Linked DNA regions of Styela clava. The protein of the gene in region 2 purifies or fractionates together with the protein of the main gene of each other region. This does not show direct contact. Links are inferred from orthologs where the notes say so. Each region holds a gene or a part of one and is shown on either strand. Other genes may lie near its edges. The genes, in order: kelch-like ECH-associated protein 1, mini-chromosome maintenance complex-binding protein-like and DNA helicase MCM8-like.

Evidence for each region.
Region 1: the proteins of mini-chromosome maintenance complex-binding protein-like (region 2) and kelch-like ECH-associated protein 1 purify together in Homo sapiens (affinity purification with mass spectrometry; 3 studies listed by BioGRID and IntAct, with this or other methods). This does not show direct contact. The link is inferred for Styela clava from reciprocal best matches to the Homo sapiens genes MCMBP and KEAP1.
Region 3: the proteins of mini-chromosome maintenance complex-binding protein-like (region 2) and DNA helicase MCM8-like purify together in Homo sapiens (co-immunoprecipitation; 3 studies listed by BioGRID and IntAct, with this or other methods). This does not show direct contact. The link is inferred for Styela clava from reciprocal best matches to the Homo sapiens genes MCMBP and MCM8.

What each region holds. Positions count from the first base shown.
Region 1 is NC_135250.1:6,652,092-6,655,850, reverse strand, and holds the start of kelch-like ECH-associated protein 1, read right to left. Parts: upstream 2,527-3,759; 5' UTR 2,295-2,526; coding exon 2,212-2,294; intron 1,003-2,211; coding exon 818-1,002; intron 492-817; coding exon 311-491; intron 1-310. UniProt on the Homo sapiens protein: Substrate-specific adapter of a BCR (BTB-CUL3-RBX1) E3 ubiquitin ligase complex that regulates the response to oxidative stress by targeting NFE2L2/NRF2 for ubiquitination.
Region 2 is NC_135258.1:12,528,481-12,532,239, forward strand, and holds the start of mini-chromosome maintenance complex-binding protein-like, read right to left. Parts: upstream 2,298-3,759; 5' UTR 2,175-2,297; coding exon 2,117-2,174; intron 127-2,116; coding exon 44-126; intron 1-43. UniProt on the Homo sapiens protein: Associated component of the MCM complex that acts as a regulator of DNA replication.
Region 3 is NC_135257.1:6,810,860-6,814,618, reverse strand, and holds the start of DNA helicase MCM8-like, read right to left. Parts: upstream 2,618-3,759; 5' UTR 2,462-2,617; coding exon 2,400-2,461; intron 1,424-2,399; coding exon 1,261-1,423; intron 759-1,260; coding exon 581-758; intron 267-580; coding exon 161-266; intron 1-160. Other genes in the region: TBC1 domain family member 22B-like, read left to right, coding at 3,123-3,187, 3,453-3,612. UniProt on the Homo sapiens protein: Component of the MCM8-MCM9 complex, a complex involved in the repair of double-stranded DNA breaks (DBSs) and DNA interstrand cross-links (ICLs) by homologous recombination (HR).

The DNA.
Region 1 (3,759 bases), on a different chromosome or scaffold from region 2:
TTGTGTACCAGGTTAGGGTTCAGGTTATGCGACATCTTGGTGCGCATACTTCAGAAGTACCGAAATTATGGATACAAATACAAAAACACACCAAGGGTAAAAGATGGTATGTGTTTCTGATTACAGTTTTCAGTTTGAAATTCTGGTTATTCCAAAAGTCAAATCAGGTCTACCACAAAACTCAGAATATAACAATAAACAAAATGGTGCAACCGCAAAAATTGGATTGCCCAGAGAGACGGAAGTAGAAGAATACCACAAAAAACTTCAAGCCTTAAGAAATACTAGGAATTAATTAAATGACACTTACTGACAGCATATTTTCAAAACATGGGTCATTTGAAGCATGTTTGCACCTTGCATTATATACAATACGCATTTTTCACTAATTGATATTCTTGAGGTATATGCAAAATCAAGCAACTTGGTGAATATTTCTGGGTGAATTTCGCTCATATTCACTTCTGGTTGATTTCGTTCCCGGCAACCACCTGAAAAAACCAGTCAAAAAATCATACTGGAAACCTATTACTTCATCGATGACGTCACAATGGCGTCTAGAAATAGAAACTGAATTTCCTTGTCGATCCTGGCGATGACGATAGCTTGCGAATGATATTGCACTAAGGAAGGTGTTGAAAAACATTAGCCCGTGTTGATTAAAATATATTAAAACATCGGCATAACCGAAATGAATGTTTGAGAAACCGTACCTATATATGGGGAGTAACTAAATTATTATCTATTTTATATTATATCATTATTACGTTACCGTAATCTTTTAATGTATAAAATTATACATGAAAATATCATTTACCAGTGAACATGGCTTTAAAATATGGCGAGCACGCTGCTAACACTAGTTTGTGTGCGTGAAATTTCTGCTTTTTCCCATCGTATTCAAGTTTTATTGTTACGTCACAAAGAAGTCCATTCAACCGCAACTCGTGCATGATGGCCAGAGAATCGTTTGGATATTCCTTCTGTTCGTATTTTTCCAACCTAGGAGTCACGGAAAATATATAAAAATATAATTATGTGGTGAATTTTCGCAAGCAAAGTATTTTGAGGAGTGATATGAGTTTTAGGAATCGAGCAAAACGAAAAGGGATAAGCGAACTCCTCGGCAGCGAGCAAAAAAATTAAAAGTTTCAATGTTAACCATATCGTACACATAAAATTGTCGTACTTTCCACGCCCGGATTACGTAAAGATAATACTTCGATTAACGAAAAAGTTGGAAATTTTTATTCAAATTCGGTCAAATTATCGTGTGTTACAAAGTAATATATGTGATTCTATCACAGATTTTAAAGTCATAACCAGGCGATTTCTCCAAGAAGAAATGCATGAATTTTTTGTGCCACTTTTCTTTCTTTTAGCTACGAACACTGTTAGCACAGTAATGCCTACTTGCACTATTATGGATTAAATGATAGGTCATTTGAAACGGCAAGTCAAAGCCAAATTAATAACATCGCGACAGGACTGGCATTTTGTCTGATATTTTTACTACAAGATTAATTAGCATTTTTTTAATAACAAATTGACTCGGTCATATACTGAATGAAAATCGTTTTACAATTTGACAATTTAGGCATCAGCTTTGTTTCATTGTGACATCATGAGCATTAATTTCTAGAGACCATAAAAGTATTATTGGACATCGGGACAAGCAATTTTTCGTTTGTAAAATTAGCAGCATCGGCAAGTGAAACTGCATGCAAGCTTTTATCGATCAAACGTAAATAGCACCTACGTAACCGATATCCGGAAATAGTACAAAACTAGATTGATGATTAATCAGTATAATTTCACCTTAACGACACCAATCGCACGTATCCCAGGCTCGGAAGGCGTTTGATTGAAAAACAGCTATTTCGTGTATTTTTAGTAAATCACCATATTCGTCAGTAAAGTGGGAAGTGGGTACCGCCAGATGTTACCGCAGTTACCAGAAGCAGCAGAAAAGAACAGAACACAATGCAAAGACTGATAAATTTGTTGCCCAACGGGGCAAACAGGTCAAAAAACGTATGTGATATCAAAGCTACTTGAATACAGCGGTGATTCGCTATGAAAAACGATATATATAACTTATATATATACTGTAAATGGTCCGATCGCAATCGGCTGTGTTTAATTACTGACCAGCAAACCTTTTTATCGAGTTTACCCGATAAGATGAACTCATACTCTGAATCAACATACCTGTCTCCGTCCATCGTCGGAATTACTTGCCCAGGACATTTTCCTGATACTTCACACGAAGATGAATTCTTCTTTCGAGGCATTGTATTGTAGGTTTGATTGAAGCCAGTGGTAGAATGGTACTGCGCTTTTGGGTTTAAGCAGTACTTTACTATCTAGTAGTACGATATACAGATATTGCTTCGGTATAATTCCAGTACGTTTGTTAAAGTTGATATATAACATTTCATCGCAGAATTCCATACATACATAGCCATTCCGCCTGTTTAGTTATGCATCATTTCCATTTATTTATATATCTACGAATATGGTACAACCGAAATGTTACAATGTTACAGAATAATAAACCCTGCATACAGGGTACGGACTCAGTACAGCAGTATGACATGCTCTTATAAACCTGAAGGCTAACACAGCTAATGTCATATAAACCTGATCTAAAACTACAACACAATATAACTATAATATGATGAACAGCTGAGATATCGTGCGGTCTAATTTGTAGGTAACCAAAACCTCAAAAAAGCTACGGAAATTACATAAAGCAGTCACTATGCCGCCCTCGGCGTTTGGTCTGAAAAATATGGCGATAACTTGTACAGGGAACCATAGAAAATGAGAGAAATCAACAACGAAGAAATAAAAGCAGACTGCTGAGTCACGCACGTGCAATGATAATTTACGGTTCATCGAACTCTCTTTTTTAAACAAGAACAAACTGACAACCGGACAAAGAGCACGACGCGGAGACAAGCCCAACTGTTTGATTGGCTGAAGCGCGCAACCTCAGGTCGTTTGCCTGCCTCAAAAGGTATATATTTAGCCTGTCTTTTGTTTGTGTTCATACGTATTGTCCATGGCTTATCTCGTTTGATATTTTTATCTGAATCAGTCCGTGGAAACACTTAGTGTATATTTACCAGGATTTTTAGTAACCCTGTCGAATACTTGTTTTCGCTGTAGGAAATGTCCGGAATGTTGTGGAAGCATGATTCAGCGCTCGGGCTGTTCCCGAGTACCATAACTGGAATAAAATAATTACAACATGCCATAAAAATATGTGACCGATAATATTTTAATTAGGCGTACTTTCGAAAGATATAACTACAAAACATCAAAATATAATTATTGACTATATTGTATATTTATTTTTGTTCGCAAGATACTCACTTTTGCGTGAGTATAAGGCAGCTTTCTCCAAACCACCTAACATTTTAAGAAATACCACAATAATAAAATTGGTCTCTGGATCCTGATTGGTCAAAGCGGCCAACGCCCACAACGAAAGACAATCGGTACCGCTATCGATATCTCAAAAATTGTGCCACAAAACTCTTGTTCTTACGCAACAAAGTTCCCCATTTTTTTTATTCTTCAGTCGTCAAGTGGTAGATAGACGTACCTACTCTCTACAATTGAGGGCGTAGACTTATTTTGAAAGGGGATTTCCTCGTATACGTATCATTTAAAGTTTCAAACATACAGTAATACTTTAGTTCTTATTTACCGATTGGGTGATATTGTACAGTTGATCCAACAAGAACTTTA
Region 2 (3,759 bases):
TAAACAAGTTTTCATATAAGACTACAACACTGCCATAACTCACCACTGATATATTTTCTTCATTACTCAAACGTGATTCAAAATATTTTGCAACTTCTGAGATCCAATCATCTTTACTGCGATTTTCTATAGATTTAAAACATCAGTAAACATTTGAGCGGCAAATATAACAGTGTTATGTAGATATTACAGTATTATTACTGTATTAGGGTATGTTATTCTTCAGATCTTGTTTGGTCTGTTGCTACCGTGTTTACCCGAAAATGGTACCTAGCCTGAATTTTCAATATGATATTAATATAAGCCCTCCCCTTAAAATAAGACCTAGTCGATAGCAAGAAATTTGTAATACATGTTTTGAATGAAATTTATTACGGTACCCTGGTACCGGTACGGCGGTACCCTGGTACCGGTACGGCGGTAGCCAGTTATTTGTTTTCAGACGCATGCCAGCATGGACTTGATAGTGGAGAAAGCCCTAACCAACCAGCGGTTACATGGACCAACCCTAAAAATTTCACATCACATTTCTGTTTGGCATTAATGAAGCAGTTTCAGCGGTAAATGCAAGTCACAATTTTGTTTGGTGCCATTTTATATAGTTACCGGTACCGTACGGCGTGTACCTACTTCGCTCAGTCGCTAGACCCAGTTACCAGGTTACGGTATCGTACCGTAAAAGCGCCTAACTTCGGACAAAATTACTATATTTTCGTCAATAACTCGGCCATTTATTGTCCAAACGGTGCCAAAATTGCTCGGTAAAACATTCGTGCGGTAATTTAGATTCCCTGCAAATTTCGGTTCAATTGGACTATTTTCACTATTGAAATAATCTATTTTTCTTGCCATCTGACCGTTATCATTCACTGCCCTAACTTCGGACAGTCATTTTCTTCACTGCGTAACCGCGACGCTCAGAGAGAGAGGCTTCCGATGCGGATGACGTAATCACGTCGTTGCGTGAAGATAAGACGCTCGATCGTCGTCGTAACGTAACATTAACGTCACGACGAAAATGCATTATTTGAAACTTCCGTCGTCCTATGTTTACATCTTTCGTTCGTTACGTCAGATAAGTATTACAACACGTTAGTCATTTTAATCAGGAAATACATACGTAAATATATCTGATGCAAACCGTTTCAATCCACAATGAAATATTTTAACGGGCTTCTATCGAAGTCTTTGAAGTATTAATATTCTCGACGGATAGCTTGGTTTATTCTGCGCGGTAATCTTTATAAGTGATAATTTATATCAAACACACGGTGAATCCGATTGTAAAGTTTAATTTAAAGTTCAACCTAATTTCGTTAACATATAAGTCCCGTTTATTTGTTGATTTTTAACTTCGAGTGAATAAAATTCACCCAGGCCGTATTCAAATAACTGTCATTTCGACTACTAATCATAAAATAATTGTTAAGTCAGTACACTGTGCCATACGGACGTTTGATTTTTTACAGTTTTATATATTCGATTTTTAACGTCATCGATTAAGTGTGACATGTATTTTTATTAATGTAATTTTGGCATATATTCACACATGGACCGAACAAAATACAAAAATATTACATTGGAATGCCGTCTTTATCTTAACGAAAATTGTCATATTGGCGCCGTTGTGTCTGGCGTCAAAATTCATTTCCGCGACGCAGTGTGACGTCGTGTCGGAAGTGAGCGAAAAATAATCTACGTGAGGTTGACGTAACTGTTGACGCTGCGTGAAATCTTAATATTCTTACGGAATTTATAATTCAGAATTTTAGGTTTTATTTAAATCTCGTACGACATCTTGCGATCACTCAAATAAATTATATACATTGTTATCGCCCTCTACCGAATGATGGTATTTTGACGATGATAGCTTTAGTAGGAGCGACGCTCTGCGCCGTTGAATGCCGGGCAGTCAATTTTCGGCAAAATTGCCGTTTTTGTACCAAAAAAATTATAATGCCACATTAAAAAGATGAGAATAGATGTAGATATAACAGCGCTACCTATAATATTTGAAATTAGCAATATATGCCCCGTTTTAGCCAAGATATGGCCGTTCAAAAATTTTGTCCGAAGTTAGGAACTGTCCGAAGTTAGGCGCTTTTACGGTACTCACCGAAAATATTTTGAACAATGCTTAACGGTTTCTTCTGCCAGTTCTCTATGCAAGGCATGATGTCGCAGGCTTCTTTAAGTTTACGGGTATGTCTTCGGCAAACACAGAATTAAGGGGAAGTCAGTAGGCTATTTCTGTACTCTGAGCGATGAACAATAATAACACGTGCCAAGTGGATGCATATCAACAACCAAACGGATTATAAAAAAATATATACAGGGAACCTTTTACCGCGCGAAATATCAATGTTGCCATTTCCTTGAGTAATATTCATGTTCCGTTAGGATTCATATAATGAATTTATTATTATATTTGTTGTATTTTTATGCAGGCTCATTTGTAATTTCATTAGAAAAAAGTTATACCTGATAGTTTTATTTAATCTCAAAAAAAAAATTGGAATGTGTGCGATAATTCAATAGTAACTATAGAACCTGGCAACAATAATCACATACATATGCCATTAAACATTCTACTCGCAGATTCATCTTTCATTTTCCTGGTCGTCTCGCGATGATAAAATCAATGCAACAGCTAACTTGTCCAACAATAATGGTATCCACATCGATTTAATTTGCAAAGACTGATGAATCATCCATGTTAAATTTGAACTCATCCTAGTAGTCGACAACCTCTATTATAATTTCGGGTCCAAAATTAATGTGAAAAGATGGGACCGCTGCACCTGTTGCAATTGTGGTCGTTCGTGGAAATTCGATATTGATGTTGGAAGCATTGGAACGGATACGATGATTTTAAATTGAACTTATCGAGAACGACAAAAGGACCCGATATCCCAATCCATGATTTGTGCATAGACTGCTATGGAACATTCAATCTATTTACCGAGCTTGTTTTTTAGTAACACTTTTTGTCACTGTGTTATTTCTGCAATGAAATTGAACTAGGCGCTCAGCATCACCATTTCACGTCAGCGAGTGTTTTTTATTCCATAGTTTTGTAGGAAAAGCACTGTTGTGTTACAAATACACGTCTCACATCCGTTTGTTGTTGTTTTGTTTCTATCAGAGTGACCAAATAAAATTAACTGATTGATGAATATGAAAACCTTGCTTCAACCTTTGATAACCTGTATATTCCCATAACTCATTCTCCTACCTCAGTACCACACTGCCCTATTTTATTTTATTTTTTAATTATAATTACATACACTGATTCACGATATGGGAAGAAATAAACTTGACTATGACTATATTTGATATAATATGGACTTGGTGAATTTGGCTTTGGTGAGTAAAGTGTAGCCCACCTCTTCATGCATCCAACTTAGCAATTTGGCTTTAGAAGACTCCAACTATAATCAGCTTGACGATATCTTTTCAGAATTTTTTTTCTACAATTTCACTCCTGTCAACTAAATCGGTATCCAGTTCGGCAATCCTTACAAAATTATTAATATATACGGTATATGGTAAGGCAAAAATTTTTTTTATTAATACATGTTTTTGTATATATATTTCTCTTTTTACCAAGTAATATATCTTGTGTCTTTTTTACTCTCGTCTGATATTATTTTGTCTGCATCATTGTATGTATGCGTGTCAAGAGTCTTGAGCAAACGCGTAGGCTACCACTTCTTTTGACAATACCTCAATAAAAAAATGTACGTTTTAAACCTTACT
Region 3 (3,759 bases), on a different chromosome or scaffold from region 2:
GGTATGATTTTTTAATTCCTATTAGACTCTTATCAGACATAAAATCCATACCTTGATTTCTATAGCGATGCCCATTTAATATCATTTGAATAGTATTCAAATGACCGTGTGGTGTGATACAACAATCTAAAAACTACATTTTTTTTTCTGAAAATACTACCTGATTACAGGAATATCATCAACAGAAGTAGGTTTATTATCCTCTCCATCTTGTTCTATTCCAAGTTTTTGACATGCTTGTACAGCGGTTTGATGAGCCGCTAATCCTAATGAAACAAGAATATTTATTAAACTAAAACAGATTAAGAGGGAACAATGAATAGCATCGAAAAAAGATAAAATATCGAATTGTCATCAGATCACTAATGGTTTAGCAAAATTCTTGATAAAGATAAATGACTATTATATAGTAATTCAATTTTGAAAGTTACTTGAAAGTCAATTGATTGAGAATCTTAACAAAGATTGTCATTATGAATATATTTTGATATTATTATTACCAAACCATTCATTTTGGAATAAATTTGGTATAACCAGAAATCCATCTAGCGCCCCGATCAACTATGGCCACCAAACTTACCGAGACAATTCAGCAAGTGATCAGGATTATTGAATAGTTTATCAGCAAACTCAGGTAATGATGTTTTGATGACATTGTGTGATGTTATCTCCTTAAAATCGATTGTGATACTTTCGCTGTTCAATATTGTTTCTTGATCACATTTATCAAAATAATCTTTCATGTATAATTCTAGAACCTGTTAATTTAATTAAAATAAATAAATATTATGAACAATTGATGAAATTTGAATTTTTTATTCTGAACAAATAAATATCCAAAATGAAAACACAACCAATAACGTTGAAAAGATAAGAGAGATGGTTTCACTGAACTCAAAATTGTAAAAATAAAAAAGCTGCTGAGGATTTATTTTTTCTCTTCATTTACTCTTCATTTGTGAATACGGTACTATCACTAATATTCTTTACCTTTTTTAGTACCTATGCTCAAATTATAAACAATTGAAACTTTACAAAAGCCATAGTGCGAGTTCAGATTATCACTAACTGATAATACATTGGAGATTAAACAACAAATATGGAGTTTTTATGAATGAAAAGTGACATAATGATAGAGCAATGAGCATTCAAAAGTCTTTGAGGGGGGGAATGAAAAGAGCCAAATAGATTCAAATGGATAAGATGAAGTCTACTAATAGTGCAAAGATATGCTCTTTAATGAAGATCTTGAAATTATACCTTTACTATAGAAGCTGTAGCAGATCCTAGATTGTATTCTTCTACTGGAAAATAGTTTTTCCAGGCTCGATACGGACAAAAACTTCCTCGGACCAAGTCTGGACGGACATTCACTCTTGGCTGAGTCAGCTCAACTATTTGAGGCTCTCGAGGGCCACGGAAGCTAAAAATAACAGAAATCATCGAATAATAATGCATAGAGAACAAATTGGACAAAAAATAGACAGTAGCTTAATATTTATAGGTTCACATACTAGAGATCCTGAAATCTCTGATAACAAGGCAATTCCATGTTAAAAAAAAACTTAATGTAAACAAATAAACGAGGTTGCATTGACTTTCTTCACTTCGATACTGAAGAAACATGTTGATTGTGATATTGTTATGACTAGAGTGAGGATATAACTATATTAGTGTCACACGTTAAATATCCCATACTTGACCCCATGCCCCAACCCATTTCCCAGTTATATACTAAATTTAGTAGGCAATACTAAAATATTTTCAATCGTTGCAAACGAGTAGGTATCTTGCCCAGAGCCATGCTTAGAGTGAAACCTCATAATGAACAAAATTTAATGATATTTATTCATCACCATGCTGCCATGTGTAAATATAACATTGCCAAATTTCCAAAAATATCGCTAATCACGGGTGGTGAACTCACAGAAAACCTCAGAACCCCGAGCGGTTATCTCTGTATCTAACGTTAGCTGCAAAACTGTGATACATGATGTATTGCTGCTATTACTGCAGTACTGTATTAAAAGACTGAAGCAGTGAAGGGTGAAAATTAGGCTATGTGGAGAATAAAAAAATGCATATTTTGCTTATTATTATAATACAAAAAATAGAATTAATATGCCTCCTATGGAATATCATGAACACTGGTACTGCGAAATGAACAATGTAGCAGACATTGAACACAAGCAGACAACTTTCAGACTTTCCCTACTGCTCCATGCATTTAAAAAAAAAATTAAAGTTTGAAAGCAACTAAAGATACAGGTATATCTGTATACTGGTACCGGTACGGTATATAGAAAAAAACGAATCAGCTTGGCCAGATATCAGGATATTACCGGTATTACAAACTCTCATGTCCCTTTTCTTCTGTTGTTACGGTAGGTATGTCTTACCGAAAAAAGCTGTTTCCGCTTTTCTTTTTCTTCCTATTCTGCTTTTGGGGCGGAGTCGTCATTTTTCAATTTCTTTTTTTAATTCCTCGGTATTTCTGTAGATCAGATTACACGCAAAATAACCGGTCACAACAACATAATTACATGCAAATGCAGAAAGTGGAAAAGTGGGGATTTCCAAACTTCCCACCAAAAGCTGACTTGCTGTAGCGAAAATATAATTGCGATTACAAAAATGGAGCAATAGTTTCTTAATTATGCTTCAAAATTTATATGTATACCTACTGCATTATTTCGATGATTCATAGATGATCTCCAATTCAAAAAACAATGAAAATATAATCACTACAGTGTAATTCACGCACCAGTGCAGGCGATGACGCGTAACTACTCTTTGCATTGTAATTTACTTTGGCTACTTCTATTTTTTTACCTGTGGTACTTGGGTGGAATGAGTTCAGAGGGCAATTTTGCCTGTTTCTCATTCTGGACATTCATACATTGCTTGGTAGTGTTGTGTGTCTGATTCAAGATATTAATTTAAAGTTATAACTTGGGTTATTATTACTGAATTAGGGAATGTTGAAATTGGATTGTTATTAAAAACTGAATGAAGATCAGCTCCCATACGGTAACTGAATAAAAACCAAACTGTGCAAAAACAGTCGAAATACTGAAATAATACGTAATTACTAAGTGACCAACAGCCTGACAGCTACCGGTATGTCTTCCAAATCGCCAAGCAAAGTTCCATTTTGGAAGAGATCTTCACCGAAAATGCCTGGAGGGTTAGTACTTTTTCATTCCTGTATAGACAACTGAACAAAGGTTTGAGATGATAGCAGTATAGTAACAATATGCAATCTGCTTGTATTTGAGTTTAATTGTAGGATTGTCCTGACAAGTGACCTACCTGTTTGTGTACACAGCTCTGCAGGTTTCAGAATTTAAGCTTTATATTTCACTTGATATTATGTATCATTGGCCTTGTGTATATTTCAAAATAATTATCTGTCTATTAGAAATTGTAAGCAATAACTTTATACATTGTAGGTCAATCAAATCCTCAACACAAAACATATCACCAGTTCCGAGGCATAAATTGTCTTTCAAAGAATTTGAGCATCATACAGAAGATGCATGGGACGCTAGTGAAGATGATCTTCTCAGAGATGCTGTTTCAAAAATTAACATTCATCCAGAACATGCAAAGGTAGTATTGAACGCACGCTGTTGTTCTATAATTCAAACTTGAAAAAAAAAAAGTTGAACTTGTTAAAGGCGAAATGTTTTCGAAAATTTCTTTAAATATGTCATTGTAAATTTAGAAGTAAAATTTCTTGAACACTTTCTGCAAATT